Linked DNA regions of Oryzias latipes. The protein of the gene in region 1 interacts with the protein of each later gene in a pairwise test. Links are inferred from orthologs where the notes say so. Each region holds a gene or a part of one and is shown in the gene's direction. Other genes may lie near its edges.

The links.
Region 2: the proteins of nmt2 (region 1) and acbd6 interact in binary tests that used the Homo sapiens proteins (3 or more experiments, as listed by UniProt). The link is inferred for Oryzias latipes from reciprocal best matches to the Homo sapiens genes NMT2 and ACBD6.

Annotation. Positions count from the first base shown.
Region 1 is NC_019874.2:17,903,297-17,907,839, forward strand, and holds the start of nmt2 (glycylpeptide N-tetradecanoyltransferase 2), read left to right. Parts: upstream 1-1,693; 5' UTR 1,694-1,797; coding exon 1,798-1,910; intron 1,911-2,293; coding exon 2,294-2,411; intron 2,412-3,704; coding exon 3,705-3,846; intron 3,847-4,543.
Region 2 is NC_019862.2:32,225,092-32,228,910, reverse strand, and holds part of acbd6 (acyl-CoA-binding domain-containing protein 6), read left to right. Parts: intron 1-145; coding exon 146-251; intron 252-1,274; coding exon 1,275-1,364; intron 1,365-3,819. UniProt on the Homo sapiens protein: Binds long-chain acyl-coenzyme A molecules with a strong preference for unsaturated C18:1-CoA, lower affinity for unsaturated C20:4-CoA, and very weak affinity for saturated C16:0-CoA. Does not bind fatty acids. Plays a role in protein N-myristoylation.

The DNA of each region.
Region 1 (4,543 bases):
AAATGGGACTAAAGCTTCAGTCACACATAACAGGTTTTTACTCTGCAGGCTCCCAAATACAATCCAGATAATACACAAAACAAACACAAGTTTTCATTGTTTTCACTACTTATTAGTTTAATATGTGTACATACCAGCATGTAGTGCAGGCCTAAACAACAAACCGTGCAGTTAGTTCACCGTGTGGTAATAGAGGTTCAGAACTGGGATGCCCAGGAAAACAAGCTTCAAGAGAGGTAGTAGTCCTGACACCACACTAAGTCAACTGGTTAAAAAAAAAAACATACTTGCTGTAGAGCTCGGTGAAGTCTGCAGATTTAATTCAAGGTGCAAACTATCAGACTTCAGAACTCCATCCTCAGATTCAGTTTCCAAAATGTCAATTTTCTCACTTGCATCTTTTTCACCTGCAAGATAAACTATCTAAATCAACCATACATAGGCTGCATGGTGGTGTAGTGGTTAGCACGCTCACTTCACGGCAAGAAGATCCTGATTCAAAACCCTGCTGGGAAGCTGGGACCCTTCTGTGTGGAGTTGGCATGTTCTCGTCGTGCATGTGTAGGTTTTCTCCAGGCAATCTGGATTCCTCCCACTGCTTAAAAAAATGCTTCATAGGTTTAATGGGGATTCTTAAATGTCTTGTTAGTGGCCATCTGATGACCAGGATAAGTATCAGACATGTACAACACCTTCAGCTGACTGTAGCTGGATAGGCTCCAGCATCTCTGTGACGCTGCAATGGGAATCAGAAGTGGTAAATGGCGTATATAAAGCGCTTATCAGTCACAGTACCATTCACACAGTGATGGTGGCTCTGCTCCCAAACACTGGCATCAGCCTATAACCACCAGGAGCAAATGTAGATTTAATGTCTTGTCCAAGGTCACTTCAGAAATTCAGAAGCCATCTGCTCTACTTCTGCACCACAGCCACCCCAGGAGACGTGGACAATGAACGGATGGAATGAGGAGAGTATGAGTAATTTTCTCTTGCCTACAAAAATCTATAACAGCCATGAATACCTAAATCCGCAGCAGAAACCATTGCAACCAGGATTGCATTGGTAAGCAATGATAAAAAAATTAACATTAAATTCATGCTTCCTTGGGGATGTTTACAAAAAGCAGCTTTCATTGGTTTCCTTTTTCAGTACACTGAAAGGAAAATATTTGAACAATTTAAATAATATTGTCACTCTGTTGGTGAGAGGCAAAAAAAAGGTTTTTAAAATGTTTATGTAGGCATGATTATTTATTATTAAAAGAATACGCCATTACATGTAAAAGTAGGAAGTAATCCTCTAGAATACTACTTGGTAACTAGTTTCTTTTGGAAAAACAATTAAGAGTTTTCTTTATTTGTCTTTCTTTGACATGTATTGTAAAATTATAAACAAACAAATAAAAATCATCAAAAGTAACTTTTTATTTTAATTTACTTGTTTTAACTGGATAAAAAGTCATTCAATATAAAACTTATTTTACTAAAGTAACCTAGAAAACTGCAACAGTGCATCCTAGTTATAAGAAATTAACATACGTTTTATTCAAAAAAATTAAATAAAAACTACTTTACTTTTTTTAAAGAATAAAAACATTTTTAATCGTTTTTAATTTTGGCCAGAGAACATTTTTGAGTTTTTTACATAAAACATTTCCATGGCTGAAAACTTGTTTGCCTAATTTTTCCCTATAGGGGGCGCCAACTCCTTCGACATTTTCTTTGTGTTTTCATCTCTCGCCCATTTCCCGGGAGCTCTTAATTTAACGTTGCCTGTTTTAAATAAACTGTTTCATGATGGCGGAAGACAGTGAATCCGCAGCCAGTCAACAGAGCCTGGAGTTGGACGACCAGGATACTTGCGGGATAGACGGAGACAACGAGGAAGAGAATGAACATATGCAGGGGTGAGGGGTGGCCTGTCCTGTCCGACTGTGAAACGCAATAATGTTTTTTTTCCCCCTGCCAGTTTGTGAGTGGCTAGCACAGTTAGCTTGCTAATGTTAGCAGACGCAAATGTCGTAAAGCTGGTAAAACGTAGAAAATGTATAGCGAATGCTTTTCCTTTGTAGTATGTTGTGCGTTTTGGCGTCCCCCCCTACAGTTGCTGTCCCAACTGAACGGCATGACCGCCATTCATGAGGACGAACCGTTAGTTAGCCCGCACGAAGTAGCTCAGCTGTCATTCGTTGCTATGGAAGTGAACGTTAGCTCCGCGTGCGCGTGAGTCCTGCGAAGTCAGCCTCCGTTCACTGATGCTCTGCGGCTCCATCCTCATTTATATCCACAGCAGTCCGGGAGGAGAGCTGGGGGCCAAGAGGAAGAAAAAGAAGCAAAAGAGGAAGAAAGAGAAGCCGAGTTCCGGGGGAACCAAGTCTGATTCTGCCTCTGACTCCCAGGAGATCAAGGTGTGATGCTGATACAAGAACATTTGCACACATTTCTTATAATATACATAAACAAAACACCTCAAGTGAAACGCGTTTGCGACATTTGAAATGAACTTCCTACTTTATGCTTTCAACTTATACTTTATTATAAGGAAATCCCGTTCTTGACATGTTTTAACATGTAGAACTTTGAATTTTGCTATAAAGACCCAAGTTAAATGAAAATTGTGTTTTATGTTGTTTTGTCCTCTATCATGTTGTTTTTAACATGATGGAGGACATTTATGAAAAGAATTAAGCGTAAAATTGTATTTCCTAGTCTTTCTTTGTTCAAACCGTTTTAAATCATGAGCAGACGAAAGAAAAAGGCTGTTGAAAAGGCAGGCCACAAGCTCAATGCTCTGCTCTATTCTGATGCATCCACTTGTAGACAAATAGATCCATGTGCGTCTTCATTTTCCTCGTCTGAACTGGGATCCTGCTAGGTGACTCCAGAATCGATCACCAATTTTGTTGCACTGGTAAGGTTAGGTTGGGGTTGTTAGGGGCTGTAAGCTGGTGTAAACAAATGGATGATGGGAAGTGTGGTAAACATCTCACGGTGATGAACATAAAACGACAGTTTTTTTTTCAATTTTTGACGAAAAAAGGCCTAATCATGATTAAAAGAGCAGTGGGAACACTTTTAAGAAAGATCAAAAGATGATCGGAGTGGGCTTTAAATATTTGGTGTGCCTTCAAGGATGCAAAAAAATTTTTTTTTTTACTGTAAATACATCATATTGCACAATGTGTGATATAAGAATTTAATTGCACCTTCATGGGCGAGTTTATATTTAAGAGGAAGTTTATTGCAACATCCTTGGTACTGCAGTAAATGTAATACATTTGCAGAGTTATTCAGCAATAATTTGGGAGCTGGTTTAGCTCGTGCTGGTTTGCGGCGCCTTCCGTCCGTGAAACCAGGGTTCGACTCCGGGCTGCTCCCTTTTCCCTTCTCTACCTCTGTGCCGGTTCCAAGCCCAGTTTGAGAAGGTTGCGTCAGGAAGGGCATCCGCCGTAAAACATTGCCAAGTTTACCATGCGACTTGTTCGCTGTGGCGACCCCTGATGGGAGAAGCCAAAAGAGGAAGAAGAAGATTTAGCAATAGTTTGAACTTCTGTCGGGTTTTTTGTAACTATGTTAAACTTTGTGTTTTGCTTATGCTTTCATATATATGTATTTAATGAAGTGCGGGAACTCACTCTTGGGGAAATGGCATCATGCTGTCATTACAACACACTGCAAATCTGTTTCCTTTTTGCTGTTAGAACCCTGGTTTGCCCATTCAGAAGCTGCAGGACATTCAAAGAGCCATGGAACTGCTTTCCTGCCAAGGACCAGCGAAGAGTATCGATGAAGCAGCCAAGCACAAGTACCAGTTTTGGGACACCCAGCCTGTCCCGAAGTTAAGTAAGTACCAAAATAAAAAAGACACATTTAATGTGTTCTGGACATTTTAGACATGTGTACAAAACTAGATCTGTCTCCACTAATGATCAATTTTCCTTAACAGTATGTTTTTCAAACCAGTAACATTTATTCAATTAAATACACATATCTGCTAACAATACACGAACCTTGCTACTTTAAGTTTGAATTAAATTTGATCATTCATAGGAGGATACACACTGTGGATCAACTTAGTTGAACTCTTTAAAGTCCCAGTCAGATCATCTTTTGATTGTTCCCAATGGTCTTTTAATTCTGATTATGCTTAGCCTGCGTCGTTTTCTACAACATAGTGTCTGCAGAACAGAAATTAACCTCTTACAGCGGAGTAAGCCTGCCCCCATTTTCCGTCATCCATCCGTTTACACTCTCTCCAGCTAGTTCACAGGCCCTCACAACCCATACCTAACATTAGTGGTGTAACAAAAATGGTGAGCAATATCAGAGCTATCCAGCCGTACAGTTTTAAGCCAGACACCAGACGAAGAAAAAGAAGACGTGCATGGATCTATTAGTCTACAAGTGAATGGATCAGAATGGAGCAGAGCAAGGAGCTTGTGGCCCGTCTATTGTAGCTTCTTAGTCACAAGTACAAGCTTTTTCAGACGGCACTTTAATGTCTGCTGCTGATTCACAACGATTTGAATAATAATACTTA
Region 2 (3,819 bases), on another chromosome or scaffold:
TTCTGTTAGTTCAGTCTTGGGAATGCTGGAGTCTCTCCCAGCAGTTCTTTTGAGAACGGTGGAAACAAACCAGACCCGCCCTGAAGCTGATAAAAATGTGATGTCCTGACTGACCTGCTGCTGTTTCTTCTTCTATGGCTTTCAGGGAGGAGGACAAGAACATCTTTGACTACTGCAGAGAAAACAACATTGACCACATCAACGATGCCATCGGCTCCCAGAAAGTGGATGTCAATGCTAAAGATGAGGAGGTACAGACACGGAGCTCAGCCTGCAAACGTACGGCCGCTGCTCATGTGAGGTGTTTCAGAAACGTTTGATCGTCAGCTGCTGAGTTCACGGTCAAAGCTTGTCTGTGTTCAGCTTTTATTGACAGCTCTCCATCTTGTAGCTCAGCTCGCTGAACAACAGAGGGCAGTGGTGAAGTTTGACTGCAGACGCCAACCTGACCCTAACCCTCCCACTTCTCCTCTTCTTTTCACATTCATTGTTGAACTGAAACACAAACAGAATTGATGGTTTGGTTTGAAAAAACGAAATCTGGAAAAATAAAATATCTGTTTAGCACTTTAAGTTTAATTTTCATTAAACTGTAGTTTTTAGTGAACCAATTTGCATTGTAGATTTAATATGTACATTTAATATCATGTAATACATTTTTTAAGTAATTTTAATTTTAACTATAAATAACGGAAAAATGTTTGAAAATTGTGCAAATTAGTTTGAGACAAAAGTATTTTTATTAGTAAAAAATATTTGGTTTATTTGAAATGTGTATATTATTATCAGTGAACTGTCGTCTCTGATGAAAGTACATTTCTGATTACAATGGAAAACAGTGATATGCTAAAGAGGGGGGGGGGGCAGCTAACTGGTCTGCTGAAAAATAACCAGTCAGCCTTAAAACACCTGAGGGGGGGCATAGCAGAGCGGCCCCCCCAGTGATCCATATGATGTGAGCACAGAACTGGACTTTCACTAATCGGCCTTGCTGAAAAATGAGCTTTGGGGGGGGGGGGGGGGGGGGGGGGGGTTATTAGAAAACCAGGATCCAGACCTGGGGGGGGTGCCAGTGAACGCCTGTGTGATGTTCACTGGCACACTGTGTGTTGGACTTTTCCATTTTTCCCCCCGTTTCACCGATAAGGTGAATCCTAATAAACGACTGCTCCTTCTCCGTACATCAGGTAAAAGAAAAGCAGGAGGCTCTGTGCATTTGTGTTCCTCTGGGGCATTGAGTTTGCAGCGGCTGACCGCTCTGCTGGTGTCCGCAGGGCCGCGCTCTCCTGCACTGGGCCTGTGACCGAGGACACAAGGAGCTGGTGTCGGTTCTGCTGCAGCACAAAGCAGACATCAACCTTCAGGTGAGATGCAGGTCTCTGCTGTTCAGCCTTTTTAGAACCCAGACTAAACATAATAAACATTTGTTTCAATAAAAATTAAACAAACAAACACAATTATTGTTTTAAATGGGACATTTTATGAAGCAAATTTGAGATATTTGTTTAAATGTTTCTTTTGGGAAAATGTATTCATCAGTAGTCAAAAGTCCTTAAATTAGGAAAGTTTTTTCTGGAATTTATAACATGTTTGAAGATTAGGCATAAAGTTTGACAAAGTGGGTCATCAGCTTTGGACTTTTAGAAGCAGGGACAGTCCCACTCCGATCATCTCTGGATCCCAGTGGTGTTTTCCTGATGATTATGTCGTCTCAATGACCAGAAACATCGATCAAACAAACTTTAATCAAAATGTATTGGTAAGCTGAAATCTGTGAATATTGAACCGTGAACACGCGGGGGAACGCTGTATTCATCTGCGAGTGGATAAGTCGGAATGGGGCGGGGCAGCGACCTTGTGGCCCGCCCACAGTACGTTCTGCATCACAGCTACCAGCTTTTTCAATTGTAGTTTTTTTGTCTGCTCCTGATTCACAATGTTTTGAATAAAGATATTTTCAGAAATGCAATTTGAAATTAAATCTTCTTTTTACATGGGTGAGAAAAATGCCACAAAAACCTTTTAAAAACACCAAAAACATGATTTTCATCAGTGTGTCTTTTTAAAGAAACCATTTGTAAAAACAAACCCCAGCTACGATGTAAACTAAGTCTGAATGAGGAGTGGAGTGAAAATACCAGACTCTACATCACTTTTGGAGTTTTATGGTCCTTGAAGCTCTAAAAGTTTTTTAAAGGAAAAAGGTTCAAATATAGCTTTGTTTGACACTTTCTTGTGCTGCCTCTTCACTTTTTTATGCTTTTTATTTTTTTAATTTATGGACTGCTTCTTTTTTTAGTTGGACGTCCATGTGTGGTGCATTACTATGTATACATTTATTTTATGTGACGCACCATGAGGTTTCGTACCACAGGAAAGTGTGTTCTGCATAAAGCTGAATCAGAATGAAGCAGATGTACAGGGACACCATGGGCCAACAGTCTCCTCTCCGCCGTCCTTCTGTCTTTCCATCCTCTCCATCTCTTTTAGAAGGTCACCTTTAATTCACTTTGTGCCCCAAACAAATCCCCCGAGGCTTTAGCAGACACAGTTAGCCAGTAGCTAGCCTTCTGTTTAGGCTCTGAAGGTTTAGCAGCACGCAGGCGGCTTTAGTTTCAGCCGTAAGCCGGTTCAGCTGCACATTGGAGAAATTGCTCCTCTTCCCTGCCCAGCCGCACGCCAAAGTCCATCTCGCCACGCTGCTCGGCGGCGAGGTTTTAACTGGGAGAACAAATCAATTGGAAGTAATCAGGCAAATTGTTTCACATTGCACAACCCGCATAATCAGGACATCTCACAAATGGCTTTCTCTTTTGTGGTCATGTGTGGCATTTTGGTCTTGGATGCCTGCTGGGGGGTGGAGGGGGTAATAGGGAGATGACTACAAAACAATTCCCTGATGATTTACAGCCATATAAAGATAATGACAGCTAAGGGGGACCGATGTCCAGATAGAGGCTGTTTTGCCTGTTTTTCCTCCCATGATGCTGCACATTTGCAGTCATGTATTCCTCATTAAAGTTTGAATTAATGCGCCTAAGTGCTAGGAGTTTTCAGCAGTCACAGCTGGGAGCATAAATCTTTTCACAGGTAGGAATTTGGAAAGGTTGAATCAGACTGTTCTTTATTTCCCATAATGTTTTAAAAGCATCTATCTCTACATTTCGTATTCTTTTTCTTTTGGATCAGACACTTTGACCAAAAAACGTGCAACAAACACTAACAGACGTTTCAAAAAGAGATGTTAGCAGGACCAGTGGGACATTTCCACCATACACTGGTGGTTAGAAGAGACGGTTCAGTCCAGAATAGAACCTCAGCATCACTGTTGGTCGTAAAAGATTCAAGAAACTGATAGTGAGGACTTAGAAAAGTTCTGTTTCAAACCTTGAAAAACACCATGAAAGACCTACACAATCCTATGTTTCTAAGTAGAAAATGCATAAAATGCTTTTCACTGCAGGCAAAACAAAGAGATGAGGAAATTAAAAACGCCATTTCCTGTTGCTGGGAATAAAATGTAATGAGTATTTATATTGCTTCCAACGGCCCCAAAATTCCTCAACACAAAACAAAGAAAACTTGGTTCATTTTACGACGCAAACAGAGGATTGTTTGGGTTGTTTGCAGAATATAAGAGTGACCAGTAATCTCTCTCGACCTCTACCAACTGCTGAGCGACCAGTAAATAAAGATCAAGCATGATTTATGCTTAATTTGTTGATTAAAAAAGGGGAGGGGCACTCTAGAGTTTAAACAAAAAGTATTATTCTTTTGGCAGAGGAGGAAAATCGTTGGAAATTAATCAACTGATTGTTT